Linked DNA regions of Lepisosteus oculatus. The protein of the gene in region 4 purifies or fractionates together with the protein of the main gene of each other region. This does not show direct contact. Links are inferred from orthologs where the notes say so. Each region holds a gene or a part of one and is shown on either strand. Other genes may lie near its edges. The genes, in order: hspe1, eno1a, park7 and sod1.

What was found.
Region 1: the proteins of sod1 (region 4) and hspe1 purify together in Homo sapiens (affinity purification with mass spectrometry; 3 studies listed by BioGRID, with this or other methods). This does not show direct contact. The link is inferred for Lepisosteus oculatus from reciprocal best matches to the Homo sapiens genes SOD1 and HSPE1.
Region 2: the proteins of sod1 (region 4) and eno1a fractionate together in Homo sapiens (co-fractionation; 3 studies listed by BioGRID, with this or other methods). This does not show direct contact. The link is inferred for Lepisosteus oculatus from reciprocal best matches to the Homo sapiens genes SOD1 and ENO1.
Region 3: the proteins of sod1 (region 4) and park7 purify together in Homo sapiens (affinity purification with mass spectrometry; 4 studies listed by BioGRID and IntAct, with this or other methods). This does not show direct contact. The link is inferred for Lepisosteus oculatus from reciprocal best matches to the Homo sapiens genes SOD1 and PARK7.

Annotation. Positions count from the first base shown.
Region 1 is NC_090707.1:7,076,914-7,084,615, reverse strand, and holds the start of hspe1 (10 kDa heat shock protein, mitochondrial), read right to left. Parts: upstream 3,006-7,702; 5' UTR 2,829-3,005; coding exon 2,826-2,828; intron 210-2,825; coding exon 54-209; intron 1-53. Other genes in the region: hspd1 (60 kDa heat shock protein, mitochondrial), read left to right, coding at 5,383-5,556, 6,044-6,379, 6,486-6,581, 7,126-7,219, 7,470-7,638. UniProt on the Homo sapiens protein: Co-chaperonin implicated in mitochondrial protein import and macromolecular assembly. Together with Hsp60, facilitates the correct folding of imported proteins.
Region 2 is NC_090720.1:1,528,081-1,535,311, forward strand, and holds the start of eno1a (enolase 1a, (alpha)), read right to left. Parts: upstream 3,020-7,231; 5' UTR 2,909-3,019; intron 1-2,908. UniProt on the Homo sapiens protein: Glycolytic enzyme the catalyzes the conversion of 2-phosphoglycerate to phosphoenolpyruvate. In addition to glycolysis, involved in various processes such as growth control, hypoxia tolerance and allergic responses.
Region 3 is NC_090720.1:6,610,814-6,617,993, reverse strand, and holds the start of park7 (Parkinson disease protein 7 homolog), read right to left. Parts: upstream 3,014-7,180; 5' UTR 2,871-3,013; coding exon 2,781-2,870; intron 1,619-2,780; coding exon 1,517-1,618; intron 922-1,516; coding exon 862-921; intron 589-861; coding exon 519-588; intron 1-518. UniProt on the Homo sapiens protein: Multifunctional protein with controversial molecular function which plays an important role in cell protection against oxidative stress and cell death acting as oxidative stress sensor and redox-sensitive chaperone and protease.
Region 4 is NC_090700.1:19,762,612-19,770,485, forward strand, and holds the start of sod1 (superoxide dismutase [Cu-Zn]), read right to left. Parts: upstream 3,016-7,874; 5' UTR 2,920-3,015; coding exon 2,848-2,919; intron 1,519-2,847; coding exon 1,422-1,518; intron 754-1,421; coding exon 684-753; intron 1-683. UniProt on the Homo sapiens protein: Destroys radicals which are normally produced within the cells and which are toxic to biological systems.

The DNA.
Region 1 (7,702 bases), on a different chromosome or scaffold from region 4:
GCTACTTTCATGCGTGCGGACCGGGACCGCCCCAGCAGGACCCCCGAAATCACCTTGTTGACACTCCCGGGCCCCACCGCCACCACGGTGGCCTGCAGCACCTTCCCCTGCGACTTCTCGGGCAGCATGATCCCGCCCTTGGAGACGGTCTCCGCGGCCAAGCGCTCCACCAGCACGCGGTCAAACATCGGGAGGAACTTCCTGAACGCCTGAGGGTCCGAGAGAGAGGGGGGGAGAGATGAGACTAGCGCCATTCCCAGAAATAACACATCCAATCGCAGAATTCCCACTCCCACAGGAATCAGAAAAGGGAAGAAACTCAAGAGAGCTGCAACACAGTGTGTGATCTGATGACATTGAGCCTGTCTCTCAATAATAATAATAATAATAATAATAATAATAATAATAATACAGTGTGTGATCTCCTGTCCCAGCCTGAGGAGCAGACACTGTCTCTCAATATTATTATTATTATTATTATTATTATTGAGAGACAGGCTCACTGTCTGTTCCTCAGGCTTGGACAGATCACTCAGATCACTCACTGTATTAATAATAATAATAAAAATAATTATACAGTGTGTGATCTCCAGTTCCAGCCTGAGGAACAGACAGTGAGCCCGTCTCTCAATAATAATAATAATAATAATAATAATAATAATAAATAGTGTGTGATCTCCTGTCCCAGCCTGAGGAACAGACAGTGAGCCTGTCTCTCAATAAAGTTTTATATGTTTAATGCAAATGTCCAATAATTAATGTCTGCAAATGGTATGTTAATTGTATCTGGTTTGGCAACACTAATTCACTGGTCACACCACTGATGCCCTGCGACTCCGAGAGAGAAGAGAGGCAGGAGAGAGAGCATCCTCGTCCCGAGTGGGAAAGCAACGAGCGCAGGCCACTCTGACCCCAAGGGCGGAAGTCCTGCTGTCCTGCCACCAGGGGGCAGAGCACACTCCCTCTCCCCCAGAGGCCCAGGGCATGGAGGGAAGTCCTGCACGTGTTCACGCCTTTACTTCACTGCGAGCGGTACATCTGGGTGGCGAAGCAGAGAGATGCCCAGGAGGAGGAGCAGAAACATCGAGTTGCTCAGCTACTCCTCCGAAGGTGCCGACGCAGAGGTGTGAACAACAGGTTAAAAACGAGGATGAAACCACGATCTGGGCATCACGGGTGCCGAGACCCGCGACAACAACAGCTTTGTCACTCGCGATGAGTCGGCAGAAGGAGCCGAGGAATTCGGGAGCAAAGACAGGGGAAGGAGCCGGCTGAGGAATGTCGCAGAGCGCCCGAGGTCTCGCAGCTCAGACAGATAAAGCGGCGTGTGATCAGGGATCCACGAGGTCCTGTCCCTGGCCCGCGCGGAGGAGGAGGAGGAGGAGGAGGGCTGTGCGCGCGACCTTGGATCAAGGTCACTTCAAGGGCACGGACAACAGCGGAGCAGGGGGGAGGGGCGCCCCGTCTGCCAACAGCCTGTGAGCTCTGTAGGGAATTAATTCCCAACGCGTGGTCAAGGCAGCCAGACAGGAAGCATCGTTAATGATTGCCGTCAGCAGAGCACAGGGCAGGGAACATTGATCCTGCCAGAGACACGGGCCTCCCCCTCCTCTCCTGCACACTAGCACCTCATCCCAGAAGTGCAATGGGGTCACCAAGGCGACATGCACCTTCAGATGCAAATTGCACCACTGGAACTGGCAAGTCGTGTTTTAGTAAAAATCACAGGTTTTAAAAATGTCCACCCAGAAAGTTCTGCCCCTCTCCGGGGGTGTTAAGACTTAGCCCAGCCTCAGACTTTCTGTGCTGCGTGAGAGCACATCTGGTTAACTAATTACTTGATTGAAGAGATCATCGTAACTCCCTGTAACTACTGGAGACTGGGAAGGCTTCAATTAAAGGCCTAGATGTGCGACTATCTCGGAAAGAGCAAGGAGGTCACTTCCGAGACGAGCGGGACCTCCAAAACGCCGAGTTCACGTTTCATATCTGCCCCGGATGTGATTGAAGATAAACCGGAGCCACAGTTTGTTCTTCCGTGTAGCAACTTGCGTGATTACAAGGGCACGCGTGCCGAGCCGGCTGACACACGTACGGCAGCTATCAAGAAGACTTTTAAACACACGCATTTACAAAGAATGAACAAAAAAAAACGTATTTATTCACAAAATTAAGTTCCCTTTTTTAAAAATTGTGTTCTTAAAGCCATCTTTGAGAGCAACACTTCTATTTAGACGTCTGTCGATGGTCTACGGGGTTCACACATGCATGCGTTTTACAGGGACGTAACAACTAAACGCCTCCGCCGAGGAAGCAGAGGGCGGACTTTAAAGGCCGGATTCTGTCAGGTCACCTAGGAAGGAACACGGAAAATAATCCAAAAGGAAAACGTTAATGCCAAAGGCAAGACAGCCCGCCGGGTTGCTCACTAGCACCGGTCTGAGGGCCCCGACCTTGACCCCCGGGTCTCTGTCGGTTCGGTAAAGCCCGAATTCCGTCTCCGGTGTCGCCGGAGTCCCCCGCCCGCCCGCCCGCCGGCCCAGTCCGTGCGGCTGCAGGTGTTAAAAACCTGCGACCGCGCCGATCCTATCGTCAGTATGGAGCAGTATCCCCACCTCTGCGCCCAGTGAGAGCCCGCTTTATACCAAGTGTCCAAGGGACCTGCTTTTACAGCGCGCTCACCAGCGTGCTGCTCAGCTTACACGGAGTAGAAAGTACTAGAGAAGGCGCATCGGAGCTTCTGATCTGGATATCCAGACATTTTAAAATTGCTCCATTGCAGGCCGCCCTACGGCACGGCCTGCGTACGGAGCAGAGAGTCTTACCATGCCGACGTGTCTCTATGAACGTTTCTACACACAGCAGCGTGGTTCCACCGCGACCCTCCTGTGTCCTGCGCTCGGGGCTTCTCCACGCGTGAGACTTGGCTTTCTCTCACACACCAGAATCGCCGCCCCACGTGAAGAAATACGGGCGCCCGACAGCGCATGCGCGCCCCCCCCGAGCCGGTTCCTCCCCCTGTCCCGGGTTCCAGAGCCTTCTGGAACCTTCCCGACACGATCCCCCGCGCGCCCTGCAGCCAGCGCGCAAACCGACAGCCGCCCCCGCCTCCTGTGAGTGCATACAGCGGAATTACTGCTTCATACACGGGTGCAATGTGTTTCAAAGCGATGCATTTGGCAGCAGAGCGTGCATCTCCGCCCCCCCCGCCATTGCATCAAAATTACACAACATTCACCTTCGACCCCTCGAACTTTTTTTCCTCCTCCAATGGCGTCCGAGAAGTTTCTGGAAATCGCCTGCCCCGGAACGAGCATGGAGGTTCCCCCCCCTGGCGCGCTCTATCCCACCTGCGTTTAAAGTTACGTTCCCGGAGCCGTGTAACGCGACGGGCGGGCCCCAATGAGGTGTGTGTGTGTGGGGGGGTCTTCACCGCCACAGTCTTGCGCGCCCCCCCCCAGCGGGGCGAGTGTGTGCAGTTATACAGGTTTCGGGGCGGCCCCCAGCGTTACCCGGATGGAGATGCCCATGTGCGCCGCTCAGAGGCCGGAGAGGAGGCGCTTTTAGGCAGCAGCGCAGCTCGCCGTCTTACTTCTTCTGACAGAGCCCACTGCGCGGCGGTCGTCTGTTCCCTCCTGACCTCATCCCATCCACCCCGACAGTAAGTACCCGGGCTCCCCTTCCTCGCTCGCTCGCCGCTGGAGCACGGTTCCGCACGCCGCTCCTGGGGAGCCTGTTCAGTCTCTGCCGTGACGGAGCGGAGCGCTACAGCTCGGTTCGAGCCGACTGAAGGCGGCGGGCGGGCGTGCGTGCGTGCCTGCTCGCGTGTCTGCAGCGGTGGTTCGCTCGGCTGTGGCCGTGAACCTCCTCATTTCGTGTGGGCCTGCCCTTGGCCGCTTCGGGTGTAACTCGTCCGCTTTTCTGTGCCTATTTGTGTTTTCCACTTTACACCCCGAGGTGAGGGATTGGGGGTGGCTCGTTTGTCCTTCTGTAGTTTTCCGGCTGGACTGGACATGAATGATGAGCGCTTGCATCTGTAACGGACGCTGTGGAGGGGGGAGAGATTCTGCTGTCTGCCCGCTGCTGCGCTGCACATCTCGAATATCGCCCAGCACGGCGTTAAGCGCCTGCCGCGTGAAACGGGCGAGCCGAGCGGTTCTGCGGAACCGTGTAGTGCTGTGAGAGCTCCAGTCTGTTCTCGTCAGCGTCTGACTGAACCTCGCCATCCCAGTCAGAGACGGCTACGTCTCTACTGCTAGAAGGATAATGAACTGCATGTATTCGGAGAAGTCGGGGGGTTTTATGTTGGAATTAACGTTTTCAAAGATTGCGCTTTGTTAAGGAGGTTATTGTACTCTTCTCATTAAGACAGTCAACTTAAAAACACATCACTGGATAGTGATTAGTCGTAAGCTCTGCTACGTCTTGCGCTGTCCAGATAGTAGCTTCCACCGCGAGCAGGGATGTCCTCGTGAGCGGGGGGCGCCGATGAAGCTCAGTTCTAGCGAGCTCCGCGTGCGCCGCTGCGCACCGGCACGCTCTCGACGCAGCCACGGCTTTGACCTTGTGGTGCGTGACCCCCGCACGCACGCACGCGGGCGGAAGGACGGACCTTCATGCCGAAAAGACGCCGTGAAAGATTAGGCGCTGTCACAAGACTGAGGGGTGGTTTGTAGTGCGTTTACTTGAAGTGGATTTGATTGTTGTTGTTTTTTTTTTGGCTTCTTGTCTGTAAACAGTTAGGACCCCCCCCACACGGTCTTTATAAAGAACAGTTCTGCGTTCCGAGCCGCCCTATCCCCCACATCGACTTCTAGCTTTTAAAATTACACCTGCTGAAAGTGTAATTACACAGTAAAATAAGAGGGCGTCGGGTCTGTCCTGGCGCAGGAGGCGCTCAAGGAGTCGTGGTTGAGTAATCTGCGGCCCGCTTCGAGCCTATTACCCCGGTCGTGCATTTACAGTGCATTGGCCTTGTGTGCCTTCACGGTTAAGAGCTCTGATAATCCGGCAGTCGCCACACAGCTGTCTAATCGCCACAGATTCCCTTCTCCCGGCGGTGGGTTTTCGAGGGAAGGCCGTGTCCTTACAGGTACGACCTTGGCCCTGCGTGTCCGGGGTGTTAGTGCTGAAGCAGGCCCCTGCGCCTGCTCAGGCTGTGTTGCCATGGAGACAGGCCGGGCAGGGTGAGCTTGCAGTGCAGCCCCGCGCCGTGGCAGAAGTGGGGTGAGCGTGCGCGTCTCGGGGTACACAGCTGGGGTCTGGAGCCGGAACAGGTCCAGGCCAAGGCGCCCCCCCCCCTGTTGCTCCTTGGAAAGCAAGATCCGCGGGATCGCCGTCTGTCCGCCGCTCAGGCCCGTCTCTGCTGCACCCCTGCAGGAAATGCTGCGCTTGCCCACCGTGATGAGACGGATGCGCCCGGCGTGCCGAGCGCTGGCGCCCCACCTGACGCGCTGCTACGCCAAGGACGTGAAGTTCGGCGCCGACGCCCGCGCCCTCATGCTGCAGGGCGTCGACCTGCTGGCTGACGCCGTCGCCGTCACCATGGGGCCCAAGGTAGGGGTGGGAAGAGGAGAGGGGGCGGGTAGGACACCTGGTGGGAGAGGGGGGGGTAGGACACCTTGTGGGAGAGGAGCAGGGGGGTAGGACACCTGGTGGGGGGTGCAGGGAGAGGAGCAGGGGGTGGGGACACCTGGCAGGAGAGGGGTCGCAAGAGGAGAGGGGGCGGGTAGGACACCTGGTGGGGGAGGAGGGGGGTAGGACACCTTGTGGGGGGGGCAGGGAGAGGAGCAGGGGGTGGGGACACCTGGCAGGAGAGGGGTCGGAAGAGGAGGAGGAGGGGGTGGGACACCTGGTGTGTGTGCGTGTGTGTGTGTGATACGCATTGTTTGGCAGTGACGCGTGTACACGTTTGTGTGCAGCAGGAAATGTGTAGCGGTGGGTTGTTTGTGTATGGATTGTGGGTTTGAAGCATGTTGTGCAGAGATGGATGCCTGAGGCCTGAGATTCTGTCCTGGTTCGAGCGCCTTGTGCCTTCGTGCAGGGTCGCACGGTCATCATCGAGCAGAGCTGGGGGAGCCCCAAGGTCACCAAGGACGGGGTGACGGTGGCCAAAAGCATCGACCTGAAGGACAAGTACAAGAACATCGGCGCCAAGCTGGTGCAGGACGTTGCCAACAACACCAACGAGGAGGCCGGCGACGGCACCACCACCGCCACCGTGCTGGCCCGCGCCATCGCCAAGGAGGGCTTCGACACCATCAGCAAAGGCGCCAACCCCGTGGAGATCCGGCGCGGGGTCATGCTGGCCGTGGACACGGTCATCACCGAGCTCAAGAAGCTCTCCAAGCCCGTCACCACGCCCGAGGAGATCGCCCAGGTAAGGCCTTGCGTGAGGGAAGGGGTGCGCCTCGTTGCCCCCAGGGTAAAAGGGAGGGGTACCCCGCTTGACGGCCCTCTCTCTCTCTTTCCTGGCCTTCTTTCAGGTGGCCACCATCTCTGCCAACGGGGACAGCGAGATCGGCAACATCATCTCCGACGCCATGAAGAAAGTGGGGCGCAAGGGGGTCATCACCGTCAAGGTGGGTTGCAGGGGGCTTGTTTTGTAGGGGGCGGTGGGGCGGGGCATCACTCTGAGCTCCATGCCCGGGTTCGATCCAAGTAAATGTCCATTAGGTCCATTAGGAACTGTCCAGTGGGAACTGAATTGGCCACAGCACTGGCCACTGGAAAGAATGATGCTCTCAATCCAGATCTGGAGAGCAACAGCGTGTTGCTCAGTTGTTCACCTTCCCCTGAAGTGTAAGAGTTGATGTATTAAAGAGCCTGGAAATCCTGCAGGAATAGGCAGAGGAAGAGTAGCGGATCGGGGTAGTTCGACAGCAGTGTTCCTGGCTTCTGCATTGCTGTTGCTCTAAAGGAGCTGGTGAAGTGAGACGGGGGGGGGGGGGGTGACTGCTTTTCCACTAGCCTGTGGCTCTCGAGTTGGGAGAAGTGCTCCGGGAATCCGTGTCTGGTGATCTGGGAAGCAGCCTGTCGCGGGTCTTTCCTGGGAGAGAGGTGTGTGAGCTGTGTGATGGGTCCGGTGTGCCGGCTGATGCCGTGTTCTTGGATGTGTGTTTTCAGGATGGTAAGACTCTGCACGACGAGCTGGAGATCATTGAGGGTCTGAAGTTCGACCGTGGGTACATCTCCCCGTACTTCATCAACACTGCCAAAGGTGAGGGCGCTCTGCCAGGCCCTGGCCCTACCCTGTCCCCGCCACACTTCCTCTCTGCAAGGTGGCTTCTGTTTGAGAACTGTAAACTGTTTGTTTTGGGCTGTTTTCTCTTTCCTCGTGGCCTTTCTTTTGAGCGTCTTTCGTAATAATAAGTAGAAACGAAACGGGAGTCATCGGGGAGCCCATCCGCACAGCGACAGAAACGCTCGTGTGTGTTCTTATCAATGTCCTGTCTCTCTGCCCCCCCCAGGTCAGAAGTGCGAGTTCCAGGATGCCTATCTCCTCCTCAGTGAGAAGAAGATCTCCAGTGTCCAGTCCATCGTCCCGGCTCTCGAGATCGCCAACCAGCACCGCAAGCCCCTGGTCATCGTGGCCGAGGATGTGGACGGGGAGGCTCTCAGCACGCTGGTGCTCAACAGGTCCGTCTGTCCACCCCTCTCTTGCTCCCGAGTGTCGGTCTCTCGGGTCGTTAGGGCTCCCACT
Region 2 (7,231 bases), on a different chromosome or scaffold from region 4:
CATCTGAAAATGAGTCTAACTTTGCCAAATGAGACACCTCAGCTTAGTCCCTACAGCAACACATCAGGCATCAAAACTGGGGCCCTTTAACCTTAAGGCACTAGGGGCCAGGGAGACTAAAGTGCTTATTGGTAAGGATACCGATTTAGTTTAGGCTTCGTGGGCTAATACCTTTCAAGCTCACAAAATGAGTCAGTGCTCAGATGTCAAGTGAGGCGCACCCAACCAATAAAAGCCTATTTAGACTTTTAGCGAGATGCCCTGCGCAGCACTCCCTCTCGATCCATTAATGTCTGCGCGATGGAGATGGACCACTGGAAAACTGCCCCCGGCTGTCCCTAGGAGCTAGCAGACCCGTGCTGTCCTTCCCTCGTCCACACGATCGAGTGGGACGGCTGTTTGAATGGAGCCACAGGCTTTTAGTCGAGTTCAGCTTTTGGCCAGCCGGGGTTAAAAACAAACAAACTTGCTATTCACAGCGAGTCTATTCTAGCCAAGGTGCTCTTGGTTACAAAGCTGTAGGACAGGGGTCTCTGCTCTCGGAGGAAACAGCCAGGAAGAGAGACTGTTAAACTGATCAAACTGCATCAGGATGGCTAAGAAATGCACTTCCGAGTAAAGAACAAAAAAATAAGCTGTTGCATAGTAAATCTAGTTTTTGAGTTAGAAGCCTACAAGAAGCTTATCTTTTGTACCCTGATCTGTACCCACGGCCAGTGCAGGTCTCCGTGTCAACATTACGGTGTCTGCAATGGGCTTTCCTTCACAGCCAAGACTTCAATATTCCTCACCAACGCGGACAGCCTGAGAGGCCTGTATATAACGACTCGCAGCCTCGGCAACAGGCCGCCCGTGCTATCGAAAAACTTATTTCCAGGACCAAGTGACTTATTTCCTTAAACGCCAATTGCGCTGCATGAATCAGACATCTGCAATTTCACAGGAAAGAGCATTAATCATGGCCAGTACTAACAGAGTCATAACCCCCAAAGCACATTTTCAGGTGCACCCTCTGTCCTTTGGGTTTTATAGGCATTTATAACTAGTGGTTAGGGTTGAAGCTTGTTATATCAACACTTAGCTTCACTTCAACTTAGCCAATTACCAGAAGGTCCTACAGCTTTCCTGGACCAGGATGGGAGATCCCCCCTACTCAATATGCAGCCATTCCAGTGCTCTCCAGTAGTGAGCAGTCCTGCTCATAGATAAGATAAGATCACTTTATGAGCCCATTTCTTGCACTGTCTTTTCACATACCCCAATTCGCAAACAACCGGGGGGTCGCAAGAACTGAGGGACACAGACTGGGGTCCCGTGATGTTAATGAAAATAAAACTACTGGGGTCTCCCAAACGGTGCTGGTGGAAAGCAGTCTGAGTGGCTGAGAGGACAGCCCTTTCACCGCAAGAAACGTGGTTTCTGCTTCACATTGAGGAATCAGACCGCTAGAGACCTGAGTGGGCGGGAGGGACGTGTCCCCATTTACTGAACGCGCCGAGCATTTCCAGTTCCTGGCACACTGCCTCTGGAGGCAACGTGGTTTTCAATGTCGATCTGGGTTTCGGGGTCACCCCCGAAAAGTCCACTCGACACCCCTTTTTTTCCTCTCAGACACGCACGATGTCGTGTTTTTTCCACCCCCACCCTCCCGGGTGGTGCCGGGGACTCCGCACAGGTGCGGCGCTCGCAGCGCCTCGGGGAGGACGTGGGTGTTGAGGGTGACCCCAAAACCCCGAAAACACGATTGACATTGGAACCGCTACCTCCGAAAGCGGCGTTGCCTCCAAAGGTCGTGTCCTGGGAGCTGGAAATACTCGGCTTGTTCAGTAAATCAGAAAGCGTCGCCCGTCCCCTCCAGCCGGGTGTGTTAAGCGAGGCAGCCCGGAAGGCCTCGAGTCTTATATTCGCTCCAATTATAGTGTTTCTGCGTCTCTAAACCGGGATCTCGTCTCTTTCCCTCCCCACCTCCAGAAGTGGTCTTTTTTTTAGGAAAAAAACCCCCAACAACAATTAAAAAAAATTAACAGGAGGAGGAGATGAAAGTTACGTTTTAAACGCATTAAAAAAACTCACGTAAAAAAAACGCTACAGACAGACTGGCGTTTCCCAGGAAGCAGAAAAAAAGCCAGTCTATTTAAAGTTCCGACACGGACAACATGGATGTCCCTGGGATTAAAGACCCGCTTGAGAAGCGTTTTACTCCCGAGATACAGTTAACCAGGAACTACGAGCTACAGAGCAGAGTTCAGAACGACAGGAAAATTGCACAATGATATCAAACGTTGGTCTTGTAACAGAATGATCTCAGCATTTCTATACGGCTTTGTCAAGAGAGGAAACGGCGACCGCTTAGCGACAGACCCGTTTCAAACCGCCGGCAGCCCCGATATGACGCTCTCCGCTGGGGCTGAACTTGAACCCGATACCCCTAATTGAATTACACCCCCGGCGGTGCACCGAGCGAACCCTTCACGCTCCGCCCCCCAGACGGGCAAAACCTTTAAGATAATTAACAGGTTTAAAGAGAAATCGCCTAAAATGGGCGATTAAAACCTTCCAACTAAAATGACAAAACTTCCTCTCTGACACAATGTACTGCCGGGCCCCCTATTAATTAGCTGCAGCCCCATAGCGTCTCGACACCCGCTTACCTCCCGGAGCTTTCCAGGGGAAAGCAGGGTATAGAGAGAGACACTGATTCAGGTCACAGCATGTGAATTAATTCGGAACTTTCGGGAAATCAAAAATATTAAAGACGACGCGTGCATAGAAAGCGCACGAGATGGGGAACCCCCCCCCCCACACACACACACACCCCAGAAACGAATAAAACAGAGCTTACAAAACGGGGCCCGCTCATGATTAAACTGGGCTAAAGGCTTTATACGTGGTGCTGAGCCGCTCTTACCTGACTGTGCGGCGGTGAAGGAGAAGGAGAAGGACAGGGGCTCGCGCTGGCTGGCAGACGGAGAGAAGCAGGGCTCGCGCAGGGCAGCGCTATCAGGAAGAGGGCTCGCGCCTGATTGGCTCCTGCGGGGCTCACGCGACACGCCCGCAACTCGGGGTGGGGGGGGGAGAGGAGGAGGAGGAGGAGGAGGAGGCCGGTGCACGCGAGGCTGGAAGTTTCCACCGAGCGCAGCGGCGCCCGCCGGGCGGATGCGGAACACGTTACTGTTACCGTCTGCGTCAGATTTCTTTTTAAAAAGTCGCGTTTTCTTTCCAAACGAAACGAACGAAGCCCCCACTTTAGCGTCCCCTCGTTTCGCAGCATCTCCACAGGCCGAGGTGAAACCCGTTATCGGAAGCAATGCACGTATTTGTAACATTAAAAAAACCGCAGATAACGCCTGGAGCCGAACTGGGGCCGCCGTCGTGAGCTTTGTCGGGGCTCACCGCCTGTTGCGCACGTGGGTAGGGGATGGGTCCTTTATTTCGGGGTGCTGCACGGGTTTCAAGGATGTAACCAGATCCCAGGATGAAAGGTGCTTCTCCAGGGACAGTCCCGACCCAGCCCCCCCCCCGCTCGGGATGCGGTGGCGCAGTGAGGACTACGTGCCGGGAATCAGCAACGCTTTCCGCGCGACGGCGCTGCGTCACTGCACAGGGAGCAGACCGCCGCCCGAGCCAGGCTTTCCACGGCCGATTCACGATTCAGTCATCCCCAAACCACTCAGGGTGACCCGCAGATTGATACAGAACAGTCATTCTCCTTCGCCAGACACCCGCCGCAGCCCCGAGTGCGAGCTGACATTTTCCTCATCTTTATTTTCTCTTTACGTAGCCGAACACATAACATAGGTGCACATACACATGCTATAATACACACGGGAGATAGGCTGAGTGCCCCCATTATTCTTACACCCGAAGAAGGGTCCACAGCCGAAACGTTGTGTTTTCTTTCTTCTCCTTTCGGCAGGGAATAAACCCATGACCTGTTCCATGATGCATATCACTCGCGCATTTTCTCTGTCACGATCATTAGAAAAACGGTTCAAGAATAAGAAGGCGAGGGGAGATTCTCAAGCCCTGTAAAACTAATGCTATAATAAAGAGATACGTCAGTGATGAAATATTCTTCTTGTTCCTTTTTTTTAAAATAAATGAATACGTCCCAAGTCTAGGGGCGTGGGTGTCAGCCTTGGAGCTGTTGCGGTCTGGGCTCGACTGTGGGGTCGGGGCTCCTTCTGCGTGGAGTCCGCGTGGTCCTCCGGCATTCACGTGGGGTTTCCAGCGAGAGGCGGGCGGCCACGAACGAGGCGCCGTCTCCTCCCTTTCCCTGTCCCAGCCGGTAATAAACCCTCACCTGGTCCCCTCCAACAAGCCTGACGCAGCTCCCTGCCCCGACCTCTCTCACCCGGGGGGTCTGCGGCTTTCTGGTGGCGGGTGGGCGCCGGTTCAGCGCTTTCGGGGTGAACCCACGCTGCCGTGAACTGAGGGACAGACAGCTCCCGGGCCCCGTGTGTGGAGACGCCGAGGGGCTGCCTGGTGTGCTAGCGAGCAATGCGGAGGGATGGCGCTTCTGCAAACAGGGAACTGGAATCAGAAAACGCGCAAACCTTGTCTTTCCTAACGAGCTCGGCTCCGGGCGGAGAGACCTGTTACCCAATACCTGCAGCTTGCATAATTTATAACCGTGTTCGCCTCGGCGGCGTGTCTCGCTCACAGGCGCCCTTCATCAGAGCGATTGGAAGACAAAATGTCACTTTTTTTAGGTTTTTTTTCCGTCTCGGCAGGCAGGCGATGATGAGCAGATCTGCGCAAACAGCAGCACGGAATGGAGGACAGGGGTGTCCGGTCCTGATCCCGGCAGGCCCGTGTGTCTGGGTTTCGGTCCAGCTCGGCTAAACCGGCTGGTCCCTGGCTTAACCGGGCCGACCCACACCAGGGCCAGTCTTCCCAGAAGCCAATTAAGCTACCAGCATGTCTTTGGACGGACTGTGGGAGGAAACCGGAGCGCCTACAGGAAAACCACACGAACCCGGGGAGAACATGCAGACTCCACACAGACAGCACCCCAGGGCTGGAATTCAACCCTGGGGCCCAGCACTGCGGGGCAGCAATGCTATCCTCAATGTCCCTTCGGGATCAATAAAGTCTTGTCTATCTAACAACTGCACCACCCTGCTGCCCTTTTCGGTACCGACCTGTAGACATATATAAACACATTTGTAACGCACAAAATCTGAACAGAAATTGTAACCGTGCACAAGCATTCCTGAACACGGGGCTGATTCATTCTCAAAACGTCCTTTTTTTCCGCCATTGAATGATCAGCGGCAGTCATCCACCCCCCCACCCCCCCTCGAGGCCCTGTTGCCATGGCGAGGGCCCGTCCCCCGTCACCATGGCAGCCGGAGGAGTGCAGAACGGAGCATCAGCAATGGCGGACGCGCGCGGTGACCTTGAGGACGGCGGGACGCGGGAGCGCGCCGCCTGGTGGTTCGCCTGCGCCACGTCACGGACAGAGGCGGAAGAAAATGCGTTTCCAGGCAGGAACCCACATCATGACGTCCCAGGGCTTTCTGAGGGTAGAACAGTAGTCAGAAAATGATTCACTGAGATATTAGGAAGCAGTCGTGTTTTATTGAGACAGTTGTTCCATTCATTCTAACTTAACTTTGAATGAAACTCGTTTTGAGGCTTCAGAAGTAAGAACAACTACTGCCTGAATAAAAGAGCCCTTGTTTACTCTGGAGTCATTCCCAGCGTGTGTTCTAATATTAATGCACTCAATTAAAAAAACGCACACACACAATTGCAGCGGCACCCAATCTTTGCTCTCTTTGCCAGCTGTAGAAGACTCTTCCAGAGAAGTGGGGCACTGTTTGTATTAGTGTACCAGCATCCTGGTCTGGTCAGCCTGGACTGCATCAGCCCCACCACAGCACTGACACAAGCTTTCTGAGTCACTGCCATGTGATGGCTTCATTGTTCCAGCACGCCTACTCTGTAATCCGTTAAAAAGAAAAAAACAGTTTGAAGTTTTGTTTGCCTTGGAAGTTTAATGAAAGATGCCCATGGCTGTCTTGTGAGGGCAGGGGAGCTGACCCCAGTGCCTGAACTCTGAAGTCTGTCTGGGCTCTGGCCAATCAGACCAGGCTCTGCTGGGTACTGGGACCGCTGGTAGATAGCGGCTGCTGTGTGTCACCCAGCTGGGTCTCCTCCCAGGTGCAGAACACTTTGGGCTGCCAGGCGCAATCAGTCGTAAAGCTACTATTCATTTTTATTTATTCTCTACAAGGCTGGAAGCAAAATATTAGTTTTTTCCTCTCACCCAGTTCCAACCAGGCCAGCCCACTATTTCTTTCTCAAAGGTTTCAGTGAGGGTCTACACTGCCTCCTACTGGTCAGACGAAGAAGTGCAGCATCAGGGTCTCACTGTTCTGCCAGTGCCAACACCGCACAGCCCGGAGTTTCAGTGTACTTCTACGTCAGGGGGAAGCTCTTTTTTTTTTTTGAATGGAGTGTTCCATTAATTTAGTTCCCGAGGCAATATTTGCAAATAAGTTATGCCTCAGTGGTGCGTTTCTCACATTTGCCACCTCGTTTGAAAAAAGAAATAGTCATGTTCAATTCAGGCGTGGGGCTGGAAGACAAATACACGGCGAGAGGTGATCTATAAATCTATACCCGAGCCAGCCATGCCTGCGGCCCGACTCAAGTTTGTAAATAATTAATTTTATTGACTCCGGAAAACCCACACATTGCATAAAGGTTGATCCTTCAACCGATCAATACCCCCCTCCCCTTCCCAAATCAATTTCCATTCTAGACCAAATGAAAGCAGTGACCTTTGTCACCAGATGCAGGCTGAACATGGGTGGATATGACAAGATCACTCTATTGGCCACATACAATGTCTTGCAATAGGAGTTTGTCTTTTCGCAGACCCCAGCATGCTCTCCATGAGACACACAGATGGGAAGAGAAGCTGGGGGTCAGAGCACAGGGTCAGCCATTGTACAGCACCCCTGGAGCAGTTGGGGGTAAGGGCCTTGCTCTGGGGCCCTCCTCTACTGGCCGCGGGATTTGAACCAGCAACGTTCCAGCCACAGGCACAGATCCTGAGCCACAGAGCCACCACTCCGCCGCGGGGTGTCTGGGACCGTGAACAGTCGTGCATGCGACAGTACCGCATCTAGATGCTAGGAGGCATCCGAAAAGGCTCTCTGCGGTTAGAAGCAGAAGGGAACCCCGATACCCTGATTTGCTCACACAGGCCATTTCAGCC
Region 3 (7,180 bases), on a different chromosome or scaffold from region 4:
AGCTGATAACTGCCAGTGAAAGTGGGGCAGATGGAATAGAAACACCTCTGTATCGATGCATTGTTAGGCTGCCAGCAGGGAATATTTGGTGATGCGCACGTTTGGGATTTCCAAAATCTGTCAGCAAATTTAAAAAACTTTTAAAAACTGATCACGTTTAAGATGCCCTTCTTTTTTCAAACTTATTACTCTATTTCAAATACATAGTTTGAAATTTTACAGCATCGTGCAAAAGTGGTCTAAATGACCTCTTTGTGCGTTTTTCTTAAGTCTTCCTATTTGTCTAGGATTTTTAAATTCTTTGACATACAGCTCTCTCCAGAAAGAGCCAGTGAATGGACTGGCACATGCATCTGTTAACAGGACAAGATTGTGTAGCCCTCTGTGCTTTCTGAATGAGCCCCCGCTCACACCTCTGCGTGCCCTGAATGAGCCCCCGCTCACACCTCTGCGTGCCCTGAATGAGCCCCCGCTCACACCTCTGCGTGCCCTGAATGAGCCGCGATATCTGGGGATACCTGCACAGATGGCAGCAATCAGCCCCTTCCTGCCTTCCTGGTCCTTCAGCACGTCTTTCACCACTGGAGACTGGAAGAAAAAACACAAGGAGTCTGGCCACACAATTCAACACTCGTATGCGCAGTAATGAAAAGTAGAGTTCTGCGCCTCTCATAGGATTCCCATGTTACATAAATACAATTACACCTTGATGCCATTAGGGGCAGCTGTTTAACTCCACACTATGTGACAGAATTAGGTTTTTGTTTCTATTAAGTAACTCTTTTCCGTTCCTATTCACCTGTCCCACTCCCCCACAGTTTTAGTGGAAACTAGGGCCCTGTGCTGCGGTCCTGCTCTTACCTCAGACAGATTCTGCGCCCCCAGGTTTCCTCCGGGTAAAACCACCACATCGTACGGGCCCTGGGGAGAAAAGGGCAGGCCACATCACTGCCGATACAGCCCTGCTTTTTCACACATCGCCACAGAACACCTCTCTACAAACGGACGGGCAGCCTTCGTTAATCCATCTGCTGTATGCAAAATAATTTGAAGCACAAAATGCCCAATGTGACCCACCGTGTGAGGAGAGCAGAGTTAATACTTCAGCCTTTACTCCTGAATCTTCCGCTAGGCTGACACAGGTGCCATTGTCAACAAGTGCGCAAGTTAACCTACAAAAAGTGCAAAGTAACCTACAAAAGCACCACTTAAAGAAAAAAAAATGGTACCACATAAATCTTAAATTAATCCTTGCCGAATCCATCAATAAATCCTAATAAAGCCCAGCCCTTGTATTCCTCAAGTCTGCAATAATATTGATGATTGTGGCCCACCAGTGTTGTTTCTTTTAACCGTTTGCCAGAAAGGAACACGCAGTGTTTTACTGTGGGTAAACTGGTGGTCAAATGCAGAGTTTAGCCTGGGTTCAGAACTACAAACTTGAATTTGACGGCATTTAAACACAAACTCCTTTCAACACATGGCGCGCACGCGTATGGGACACTGCTGCTCGGACCTGCGCGCGGGCTTCCTCCAGGCTGGCATCAGGGCAGATGAGCACGTCTCGGCTGCACTGCACGGGCTCCTTCCCCGACAGGCCGGCCAGCGTCACGCTCACCTGCGGAACAAGCGCCCTCCGTCAGGTCGATGGGTTTCTGGCCTCACACGGTGCCCAGAAATCCTTTACTGGCCTGATTCATTTCAACCCTCTTTGTATGCATATGCCGGTGATCAAAAGAATGGCATCACTAACAAACACATAAAATTACGTGCAAAGGTAAAGTCAGAGGCTAGCAATGCTTTCAAACACTGTTGGGCATGAGGCCAGCTTTACACACGCTTGCAGATGAGGCCTTGTGGGACGGCGTCCCATTCTGATCACTGAGCCTGGACTCAGGAGCTCCTTAAGGTCTCTGAGCCTTAGAGAACGCATCCCAGTGATGGACGGGGCTTGTTTCGCCTAACATTACAGTTCTGCCTCAATCAGGCAGCCTTCGCAATATTACAGAAGTCATTTTAATTAGAAATGAACTACCCAAGAACATCCCTGCAGCTAACTGACATTTACAGTAGACCCCAGATCTATCTTTATCACATTCCGCGTCACTGACCCCGCCTCTCTTCAGTTTATTGGATCACTTTCACGCCACTTTTGCACCGTGCCTGCAGACTGGTTAAGAGACATTGCTCTTTCCAGAACTATCCCATGAAGATGCACAGTGATATTCAAGTCACTGACAAGTAAATGAAAATTACAGTACCATTGTACTGTAGTCAACTGCAATGTGCAAATGCCGAGCTCTCGCATACATATTCATCTTTCAAAATCTAATCGTCCTAAGACTACGGCCTTTACTATTAACTCGGTGTCCTTGTTTTTGAGTGCTTTGTAGTATTAAACGTATTAATAATTCCAATCACTTGTTAAAAATGAAGACTTCATAGCAGCAGACAAAAATGCATCGCAGCCTTGTAGATAGCGTAACGCCGATTATTCGTCGTTATTACCGTGGATGACCGTTTCAAGGCACCGATTCATACTCAAACATCTGCTGCAACGCTGGCGGTTTATTTCGTAATTTCTTTCAGTACAAACACAGTTATGTCTTTTGTGGAAGCAAGAATATATCATATACAAGCAATAACTAAAAAATAGTTCTCTTATTCTGCAGAACAGAAGGAATGCGCATCATTAGGCCTGAGGATAGCACGTTGTTTTCATGCACCACCTATGCTGAGGTAAAGTTTAAGCGTGTCAAACTGCCGCATACAGTACAGACCCCGGCTCTGCGCATGATGTCCACCGGGATAACCGTCTCCATCTCCTCAGCACCCTTCGACAGGATAACCAGAGCCCGCTTGGCTGCCATTTGTGTGAACTCTGAAGAGCCAAAGCAAACTTCTTAGATTGAGGTTGTGAACAAAAGGCACTTGCAGACGACCTGAAACTCAACAGTGTCCACACACACACACTTCCCTAGCTACGGCAAAGGCTCGGGGACAAACAGCGCGACCGAAATGCCACGGGGGCTCAATTTTATGAGGCGCGTTCTTGATCCTAATCCACAAGGCGTGTACTTAAAGCTTTATTACCATCATTATTTCGTGTCCATACTTAACTATAAATGAAAACAACACTTGCATAACGAAATGAAGAAATGGGAAGCTTCTCAGTATGAGCTGCTGTTGGCAGGTGTGACACTTCTTCAGCCACTAGAGGGCGGTGTCACCTTAGTGATGAAGAAGCATCCTATGTGGTCCATGACATTAACACATTTTCTTTATATGTACTGTATATAGATGCTAAATATAGATATTTGCTATTCTTCTTCAGAGGTGTTAAGGGCACATGTCCACATGGTTTAATACCAGAAACAATATATATCCATTAAATTCTGCGATGTGAACACTTTTTCTAAATGCTGATGTAGAATCTCTGAAGGATGTGACATATTCCAAAAAAGCTAAAAGTGCAGGACGTCTGTGCCTATACAGATTCACCCAGTACTGCGCTGTACCGTTTTCCCTCAGACATCTCCAGCCTCTTGTGTAAAAGACGCTTCTGCACGGGCGCCTTTGTGAGAGCCCGCAAAAAGTTCAGTTTTGTGTGGGGTGTGTCACACTTATTATCACTTTTGCGCCTTTTAAAATGTTGCGATCAGCACCTTGTCAGAAATGTTCAATGTAGTCAACTATATTCAAATACAGGTTGCTTAAACTGTAATTAGTTTAGTTATAGATTACGTTTTCTCCACGTTCCTTGTGCTGTACTTTATACTTAAAAAGAAGATTTGGGATATTTTGTCATTATTTACCATTCCTAGGTTAGTAGTAGACGTGGTGGCAGCTGTATTGGTGTGTATTTAATGTTAAATTACAGTAGACCTACAAGCATAGATATTTTCTTAGGATATTTCCAGCAAATATATTAAAAGTCCCTATAGAGTGCATTAAACTGTTTGCACTTTGTTTTGTTTTTTTACACTTGTTTTATGATCGAGAGACTTTCTGTTAGTAAGAATTCCATTGTACCAGTACCGGTTACATATGGCAATAAAGTTCATGTTCAAGTTCAAAATATAATTGAAGTACTATACTTAAAATAAAGTACCCTCAGAATCTTTTACTTGATTTAAGTCCAATTGATTTAGTACTTCCATTGGTCTTAGTTTGTCAATATTTGAAATATATTAATATTATTCAAAATATATTTTGAAATGCACTGTTTTTTTATTCTTCAAGATGTGAGCGATGTGAACGCGCTCTCAATAACTTTCAGATGGCACAACCCATGAACAACAAATGAACGCACCAAAAAGCGCTAACATCACCAGTGTCCACAGGGGGGCGCATAGTGCACAATGTGGATCCCTGTAGATAGGTAACCGCACTCTCAGTGTGCACCGTGATTTTCAATAGGAAATTGTTCTCCGTGGATTCTTGTCCATTGATCACGTCCACGTTCAGAACGTCTCGTAAGGGTCAGGATAGATCCTATTTGTGTAAGTGCTAGATTTCAATGCTCTGTAGTAATCTGTTCTGACCACAGTTCAGGTGGATAGCTGCGTCAGCATGCGGAGTCGGCAAAGGAACAAGAAAATAGATTTATTCCATGCTGAGAAGAGAAGATGTGAAGCCTTGTACAGCTGTGATCCCGACACTTGTTCTGACAATATGGTTGTTCCAATAGGACCGAAAACTTTACGCGAACCCTGTATGTCGCAGACAATATTTTTTATACTCACAATTCAATGAGTCAATTACAATATACTGGTGGGAATTTGAATCCCTGTCTGAATTATTGGGGTAAGTGCACCGACTGGGCCCAGGAAGTCTGCTTCCTTACAAGCTACGCCGTGCAAATAGCTCAGCTGCATAAGCGAGTCATAAACGGACACCAGGGAATTATATTTTCATGTAAATCAGAACGTGAATGGTTTGGAGATTTAATATGCAGGCACTTGTCCCAATTTAATGCACCAGTGTGCATTCTGCAGTTGCATTTTCATATTTGTGCAACTTAAAAGAGCCCAATGAAACAACGGATTAAATAAAGATTTGGGGTGCTGTAGCCGGCCTATTTTCTACGTGCCTGTTTGCAAATCCAGAAGGCAGTAACGATTACCAAAATATGTAACCGGGATCACTGAGCCTGCCGCAGTCGTACACTAGCTATTTTCCCTAAACAGGCATTTATTTATTTTTTATTCTTTACATAAGAAGCTTATAGTGAGCATATGATCATACTGAGGGAATGCTTATTAAACTCGCTTGTAAACCAGGTAACCTCGTAAGAATAGGGATTAAAGTCTGAAACACTGACGATGCAAATTTGCCCGCTGAGCCATCTGTGCGATTCTGCAAACTTAAATGAGGCGTAGCGGGCGCTTCTTCCTAAATATCCAACTTTCTTCCCCGACGCTCTTTGTTGTTGTCATGCAGGAAAACCTCTTCCAAAGGCAGGCGGAGAATAAACAAAGACCTCTTAAAGAGTAATTGCTTTCAAAAGGCTTTTCTTCTTCTTAGCCCTGTACCGTTTTCACGATTAATGTTGCTGTTTCAACAAAGCAGCTCACCGACTTATTGTACCAATACTGGTTACAGCTAATCTGCTCTGCTGACTAGGTAGAAGGCCTTTAGCTAAGGGCACCTGTAGTGTGCAAACAAACATAGCCACAGTATAATTTAATTTAATTTTACAGCCTGTAGCTACTGCTAAGACCCAAAAGAAAATATCCTCCACGTCCTATTTTTAACCACAAGGCTGCCATTTTTTCCTTCCTCCCTCAACCTCCCTGAGGAGACAGAGGAGGCTACCTCGACCCCTCCCTGTAGATCACGTCAGGGGCGTAGCGGTGGAGGAGAGGTGGCCATCCCAGCCACCCTGGACATAAACACCATGCTTCCTTGCATGTACACCTCCCCATAACCCCATATACTCAGATCCCGGATGTGTGCGTTTCTTTACAGTTCCCAGATTGAAATTTAAAGCCCCAAACAGGGTCAGAGATAAATTCCCTCCCCTCTCCGATTCGGCTGTCTCAGATCAGCGCGTGCTGAAGTTATGACTTTACCATTCAAATCTGGAATGTTGGATATCAAGGCTATCAAGAAGAGATCCATGGCCCAGTATGCTACAGTCCACTAAGAGAGAAGTAGGGGTTAAATGCCTTCCTCTCGGTCACTAAGCTAGCGTACTCTAATGGGCACGCCTCCTGAAGTGGCACATGGTAAAGGGAGTACTTCCTTGTTGGCAGTTGGCGATGAGGTCTTCCAGGTGCTTTAAGAGCCAGCAGCCAGGGGTCAAACAGCCGGGCAGGGCTGGTTCACACAACATGCTTCTGCGGCCAGGTGCAACCCCCTCAGAGCATGTCACACAGTCTGGCCAGCCCACCCTGCCTCAGAGTCTCAAACACAGGCGATGGGGACGGAGGAGAGGGAATGGGGCAGGCGTGCTCCGTCTGTCTGCTGGGGAGACCTGGAGTAAACGCATCGCAGCGGCCATCAGGTCAGGCCGATCGTCAGTCGGCACACCGCAGGGACAGGCGAGGCCGGCTGGCAGGGATCACACCTGTGGAAGCTCACAGAGGGGAGGCTGACAGGTGGATACCGCTGCTTCAACAGCTTAAACAGCTCCGAATATTCATTCACGAGCGCATTAGAATTGAATTTAATTGGGTATTAACATTATTACATTACAGAATGAAATATGGCTAGGAATTGCTAAATTCCGGGAAAAGGAAAATGATATTCGAATGAACAGGTGAGATTATAATTGAATGCAGATGAGGAAAATGATTATTAGACTGAACAGGAGAGCCACTATGTGTCCGTACCAACAGAGCACCGATTCATTAAATAGCCATTAATACTGGCTGTCTGCTTTCGGCTGGCTCACTCACCTCCACAAGTGACAGCAGACTGGGAGAGCTGTTTTTACGTGCCACACTGGCTGTTTAAAATGTGAGCGCAAATCGCCACTGACACTCTTGGATCCTTCCCAAATTCATGTCCCACCAACCACAGTGCTTAAGGGTGCTAATTTAAACCAGATTTAACGCTTACAAGTAAAAAAAAAACAAACGGATATTAACAAGTGTCAGCCTCTTTGATCTACTGCTGGCAGAACTACAAAACATGTTTTCTGATTTAATTTTTTTCAGTGTGGGTATGTATTTGT
Region 4 (7,874 bases):
AAGCCTACAAATATGGCACAGGTCTCTCAAGGTCATCACAAGCAACAGTTATGTGCAAAAGCCAACAAAAGCAAGATCAGCTTCTCTATCATGGCACCAGGAACTGCTCAACAGGTTGCGTGGGTTATGTTATATGATTAAAGCTCAGATTCCCAGTATTAGAATGGAGCTATTATTTACTTCATGCAAGTCATTGTCTGATTTGGGGAACAAATTTACTAGGAACACCCCCCCCAACTTCAATTAAACCCAGTTACTTTTTTATGCTTTTACTTTAAAAAAAAGTGACATTAAGAAATAAAATCTGAATGAAAAGTTGCATTATTACATGGTCACTCATTCTGAAACTCACAGAAAAGCAGGGGAAACAAAAATATACACATACAAAAACTATCTTTTTTTCTCCCAGAAGTTTTATCCATGGTCACATATTTAATCCCACATGTAGTTACATTTTTCAGTAAAGCACATGCACTTTTACATTATTAAAACTCCCTTAATGACCTCATCTACATGAAATTTCCCTAGTAATGAGAAATCTTCAAGCTTAATGTCAAAACAAAAAGTTTCAAGAACAGCACCAATTACAAAAGATGAATAACAAAACTGGACTGTCCTGATGTTTTTATAAAAAACATAAGAACAAACTGATACCCTGGATTTCTTCCCATTCTTAGACTCACCTGTTTTCATCGCGAGGGCCTCCATGGGTTTTGTTGTGTGGATTATAGTGAGGCCCAGCACTTACACAGCCTGGAAAGTTAAACAGAAGTTATTCAAGGAGGCCCTGATGGTTCACTTGGTGGAGCTACATGCCAGCAACCATTTGCCAGTATTTTGCTCCATCTATGTTTCCTTCAGTCTTGACAAGCTTCCCACTCCTCGCTGATTAAGTGGCTGAACTATAACATAATAGTGCCACCACCATGACTGACAGCACGCCCCACTAACACCTCTTCCAGCAGCAAACTTAGTTTTTCCCAGGAGGTCTCCCATCCAGGTACTGACCAGGCTCACACCTGCTTAGCTTCAGTGGGTTGCCAGTTGTGAGTTGCAGGGTGATATGGCTGCTATATAAAGGGTCCTTGAAGAGTTTTTATACTCTCTTCTTCTGATCTGTGACTTTCTACAACTTTACGTTCGAGTATGGAAAGCTTCTCAGTCTTCATGCTTGAATCTTTGCTTGAAATTCACTACCTGAATGAGGGTCGATACAGATCTTTTGATCAAAACTTTTGTAAGACACTGGATACTCTTCAGTTTAAAAACTGAAATATTTTCAACAAAATGACAAATGTTTTCTGCAAATAAAGGAAATGTATACCAGAGACAGTAGTGACACAAAGAGTGCAAATCAGGTTTGTAGTGTCTCAGCAGTAAATCTGCTTCTATGAAAGAGACGCAGGGTCTTTAACACCTACCATTTGTGTTATCTCCAAAGGCATGCACATGAAATCCGTGATCTCCCGGAGTCAGACCAGAAATCTTCCCAGTCACTTTTACTGGTGCATCACCATTCTATCAGCACAAAAAAACGAAGACTGCATGAAACAGGTCTGCTTTCCTCACAAATGAAAAACGTTTAGAGATCTCAGGTTTAAGCCACAAAATCTACACCAGCACCATATACTAAGTCTATGGAAAAAAACAATTGAATACACGTGTACTACACTTCGTCAAAAATATAAAAGTTGAGAATGGATATAAATAAGGAGCTATCAATGAAAGGCACAGATCTACACAAAAGAACATTAAACATTTAAAATAATCACATTTCTTGGTCTCGTTATTATCATGTGGAATCTAACTCGAATCCATCCATTTTTGTTATTTCTTCACTAAATAAAAGAATAAAAACAGTAAATATTACTTCAGTTCTTTTCCCTGCCTCTGCAACTGTCTTGGGTTTTGAAATAAGGGGATATCGTTTTATTTTAGAGTGCCGCCTTACTTTGGCTAATTGAAGCTTGATATCACGAAATACAAGATTTGTCTTGACAGCATATGATAATAATGACAATGCAACTTTTAAACATTTAAAAAATATATATTTGTGATCATGCGCAGTAGATTCGAAAGCAGAATTTCATGGCGCTATTTTCGTGCGGCATCACAGTATAGTGTTGAAGAGCAATACACTTTAATCATTGTGTTCATTGCACCAAAAAGTATGCAAAAACAAATAACCTTACAGGTACAGCTGCATAAATGAAAACAAAACTCGCTTCGCTCCTTGTGGAGATGCACCACGGACATTAGAAAGCGTACAAAACCAGGCTCTTACGCTTTAAAGAAGAAAATGACTCAGCAGAAACGCTACATTTCTGATATTCTAGGTGCACCTCTTAAGCTGCTTCACAATAAAAGCGAAGCAGCCTCAACTTACCAGCTTCAACCGCTAGCAATGCTCTTTGCCCCGAAGTGAGTTATGCAACCAATGTGCATTATAACACAGTTGGCATAACGCCATACACCTAACGACACGCAAGAAGTAGAATTATAATCATTTTATACAGAAATTGCAATACTACACCTCACAACGTCTATACCTGTCAGGCTTTAGAACATAGCACCGCTTCGGTGAACAAGCTTCAAGAGAAGTTTTTACGTGCATCGGAAACAAGCCATGACAAGAAAGGTGTGCACAGAACAATTAAAAAAAATGTATTACAAACACGGCCTTTCTACTGAAAACGAACAAGCGACAACTGGTATTCAAAGAACTTGAACTTCGTTCAAAAGAGGACGCAGATATTGAAGTTCAAGCGACTAAACAGGGTCTCATCCTAGTTACCTAAGGCCTTGCGATCAAATAAATAACCATCCGTGTATTAACAATGCGAATACCTGCTGCTCAAAGTGGACAGTCCCCGAGACTTCACCGCTGCCTTTCAGAACACAAACTGCCTTCAACACCATGTTGCCTAAACACAATTAGCAAACACACACCCTACAACAGTCCGTAGTGTCTTGCTAAAATGCCGCAGCCTACGACCCAATCCAGCGCGCACCCAATCACAGTCAGAACACAGGCTCCGCCTGCGCGCATGCCCGGAGGTTGCGCGGCAGGTACGCTGCTGGAGGTTCGAGTGGGTGTTAATAATCAAGTTGTGAAAAACATTAACTTAGCAGATAACTGACTAATATACCATAATAAAAACAAACTGTCATTCAAATAGAGCAATAAGTAAAAACAAATGTCGAAAACAACAGTGCAGGGGGCGTACACTGCATGTGCTATGTCTGTGCTGAGAAGAACAAAAACTGTCCATGCACTCCTCTCGAGCGGCATTTTTTTTTTAATTTCCTGCTTGTGTAATCAGTGTAAAAGAACTCCCTACCACTGTAAATAAGAAACCCGTCTTCTTTAATCAGAATAAAAAAATACTGAACTGAAGATGCAGTCGATTATGCATGAGACTTACGTGTTAGCTATATGATTTTTATAATCCGTCCTGGCCAACAATGGTGCACCCTCTATAGGGAAAAGTGATATAGGCTCACCATGGCTCTAACAAAGGAGGTAGGATAGAATGCTTACTACATCCATATCCTTCCAGAAAGAATGTTGTTTTAATAGAAAAACTGCACCTGAATAATACACACAATGTACTTTGAAATTAAATCCTCCATTTACAGTGGCAAAGTATGACAGAGGCTGTTCACCTTCTTGGCTGTTAGTGGCTTTGATCCAAGGAGCCAGTTAAAGACTTCCTGTTTGCTGGAGTGACTCAGCACACTCTGCTAGTTTTCTTTCATACAGTGTGTTCACAATCCTCTTGTGCTCTCTTGAATGTAATTGCATTCATTGGAGTCTTAGTCTGGTCAGTTTCAAATCTGAAGAAGAATCAGAGTTAGGTTTTTGTCAGCATTGTATTACAGGAAGGTCAAGCAAGAAGTGTGCCACCAGAAACTATCATTTTCTCTGTCTTCAAGACTTGAATTCAAATTCAATACAATTCAGAGTCTTAAAGATTCTATTGCCCAAACTTCAGTCTAGAACGTATCCAACTGTGACAGATATCAGCAGTTTACTGGTTGTCTTATCCACATGTCCTGAATTCATCCCAGCCAGTCTTGAAAAACATAAGCTGATAAGCATAAGAGGTTGTTCAGCCTCTGCATGATCATTTGGTTAAAGAGGCAGTAGTGTGGAGCAGTAGTTTGTGTACTGGACATGTGATTGGAAGGTTACAAAATCACAAGTAAGGTACTAGTGGTCTACCCTTGAGCAAAGTATTTCACCCAAAATTGATCCAGTAAAATATCCAGCTATACAATTATGTGCAAATGTAAGTTACTTTGGATAAAAGTTTCAGCCAAATAAATGAGTATGCTCATCCCTTGCTTTACAGTCCCAGTTGCAAAATATCTGCTCGTTGGCAAAAACTTGTAAAAGCAACACTAAATCCCCATTAAAATACATGTAAAAGTCTTGTTCCAAGTGCTCATAACTGGACCAGGTGAATTCAAGAATTCAAATGCTTTTCTGATTGTTAGACACCATTAGTTGCTAGGTATCTTACAATGTTGAATTTATCAACTACTCTTTCTTTTATGGAAACTGATGTTTAAATGTATTATGAAGCAGTTGAGTGGAGAAGTTAAATATGATCTAAAAAGACAGTCATCCTACATCATGTCTCTAAAATCAGCTGCAGTCAATGACCTGGTGTGCCTCCTTCGGCCACAGTGAAGAAACTTTGTGCAGTTTTTCAGTGGTCTTAGGCATCTTCAGTTCCAGTTGTCCTGAACAATGTGCTCCCTCATACTCCACCTCTTGCGCGGTTTGTTCCCAAGTCCAGTTTTGTGTGAGGGAGATGTTGGGGCCTTCTACCACTTCTCTCTGTGGAGTCCCTAGTATCTTGAGATCTCTTCTGGGTCCAACACTGCACTCTTTGTCCCCCTTAATTCTTCCCTCCTAACCAGGGCTCATGACTGGATCTCAGGAGGGAGAGTTCCTTCGATGTCTTGGGCAGGTGTAGAATTAACTACTCAGGGTTCACTGATGAACTGGGTGTATGATGACGGATAAGGGGAACAATGCACTGTGTATTCGTATCCTTTTCTAGTACCCCAGTCTCAGTCTGAGGCCTAGTTAAACCTGTCCCCAATCCCACACATCACCTGTGACTTGTGTGTTAATAATGAGTGTCAACACAAGAAGGGTCTTTGATCAATGTGAAGAAGCTCAAAGGACAAGAAGAAAAAAAACATCAACCCTAAGGTAGGCTCTGGCATTCAAACAGCCCCTGACACCTGTGGCCCCCACCCCCCACCCACTTTTTCACTCTGTGACATGAGCATCAAGATGTCTGGTGATACTGATAATCTGAATGCATAATGCGCATACGTTTTTGTATCTGATCTACTCTGTAGTGGAAATGTTGGCGCATAATAGCTGTTATCCAGGTGGCTGCTGCACTTCAGTGGAGGATGAAGTGGTATCCCCCTCCTTTATGTACTTGGCTTTGGGATTCTTTGGAATGAAAAGTGCTGTACAAATGCAGGCAGTTATCCTTAGCTTGCATCACAGCACCTACCCCCTTTCACTTGTCTAGTGAACAATTGCAGTGATGTCAGAGACAGCAATATTGCCCCATCAGCTGATCATACTTTTACTTTGGTTGTGTGCTAGGCCTGAGGTGAATAAGGAATAAATGCCTCTGACAGTGCATGTGTAAGAAGACAGTGTGCATGGTCCTCCACCCTTCCTTGTACTGGAAAACATTTCAGTGTAGAAAATATTCCATCCATTGGCTTTCTAACAACTTAATCCAATACAGGGTTGTAAGGGAGCTAGAGCCTATCCCAGCAAGCAACAGGTAGGGAGCTGTTGACAGGAGAAGGTGCCAGTTGATCACAGTCTAACACAGGCAAACAAATATTCACATTCAGGGCCAATTTTCCCAAAAGCCAACTAACGTCTTTAGACTGGGAGGAAACCAGATCACCTGGCAAAAACCCATGCAAACATGGGGAGAACATGCAGACTCTAGACAGATAGCACCCCAAGTCTGGAGTTGAACCCAGAGCCCCAACAGTGAAAGGCAGCAATGCTAACCACTGTGTCACTGTGCTTTTACAAAATTATGTATTCAAAATATTCTTCTATACCATATCTAGCATAATACTCTGAAGATTTCTGTTAAGATTAAGAAGACAACTTAAAAGTGAAAGAGAAAAATGGAAGAATGACCTACATGCTTGAAGCTCAATATGTATATGTATCACTCTTTAGCCAGTACTTGCACATGCTCATTTAAAAAGGGATGAGTGGGAATTGCATTAGATTATTAGACAAGAATTTGTTCTTTATATGCTGTTTACACAAGCATGAGATGGAAGCATTCAGCACATGATGGGCAAGCCCTATACAATGGCTGGCTACGAATTTATTACCTCTTCGAAGTAGTAAATTACTAATATGATCCTGCATTTAAGACTTAGGGTACATAAGAGGTATTTATCAGCAGTCAGCATGTTCTACTTCAGGAATAAATTAGAACATACTATATAGATTTAACCTATTCTGAAGTGACAAAAAAAATAATAACTGGGGTCATTTTACAAATATGCTATGGGTTATACCTGCTCAAATACCTTTGTCTTTGCTATGCCAGATACTTAATTTCAACTAAGTGAAGGACGTCTGTCCCACCCAGCCAGCTTCATTGGCTCAAAGACCTGATGCAGAACCTTGCATTGGAAAAATAAGATACCGTAAATTGATACAGGTTATTAAGCCTGGCAGTCTAATATATATAGTATGGCAAAGTTCACTCCAGCTCCCAGACCACCCTCAACATCAGAATATTCATCACCTTCCAAATACAACCTCCATAAACAACGTATTTCTAAATGCGTGAGTCTTTCACTGTAATTATATCACCACTGTCTTGTAATATAGTATGAGAATCTAATCAACAAAGCATAAAATATAAAAAAGCAGCTTCAGCTTTATATGATACAAATATAAAAATGCATTCAATTTTCTATGATAATAATATTGGAGTTCCTCAGTTTAGATTAGCTGTTTTTTATTACAAAGTCTTTGTATATTGAGAACTGAAACAGCAAAAGAAACTGCGAGCGGTCTAGAGCAGTTAAATGGCTCAGATTGTAATGTAACAGATCTTTAAGAAATAAAATCTTTAGCTGCATTGGAACATCTATCACTGATTTAAAGCAACAGAATGTAGTTTTTTTTAAGCACACACGGTCTATCTCAATAACTAGGATTGTACACAGATCATCTACAGTTTGATTTACATCTACCCCACTCATATTTAGGGGTAAAATTGTTTTCAAACAATGCATAATTAGTAGATTGGTATAAGTAGTGCATCCTTTTCAATGTCATTTTTACATTTAGCTATGAAGAGCAGACATTCCTAAAAGGTGTTTTCTTACTGCATAAAAAGACTAGCCATTTCTGCTTGGTTTTCATTTTCAGGTTGATGTTGAGACAGTCAGTTTTTTTAGCAATCAGCATAAGACGTTATCTCGCTTTCCTTTTATAATGCAGACTCCTTTGGAAAGAGCATAGTGTATTTCTCACACAGGAGAAATGGAAATAATAATGGGAAATAATGGTAACATCTCCGCTTTATGGAACGTGGGGGGAAAGGCAGACAATTATTCTCCACTCAACAAGAGGCATTAATACAAAACTTACCTTTTTAATGACACAATCGTGACATTGACTGGTAACTGTAAACCAGGAATTAGTATAGCAAAGATGAAGGGCGGCCTCAAATCAAAACATTTGTAATTTTTATGTATACAGCATATGTTGGAAAAAAATCAATAAAGCATTTCCCCAGCAATTAAACAGTTACTTTGGATACTGCATTTTTCTGTGATATATATAT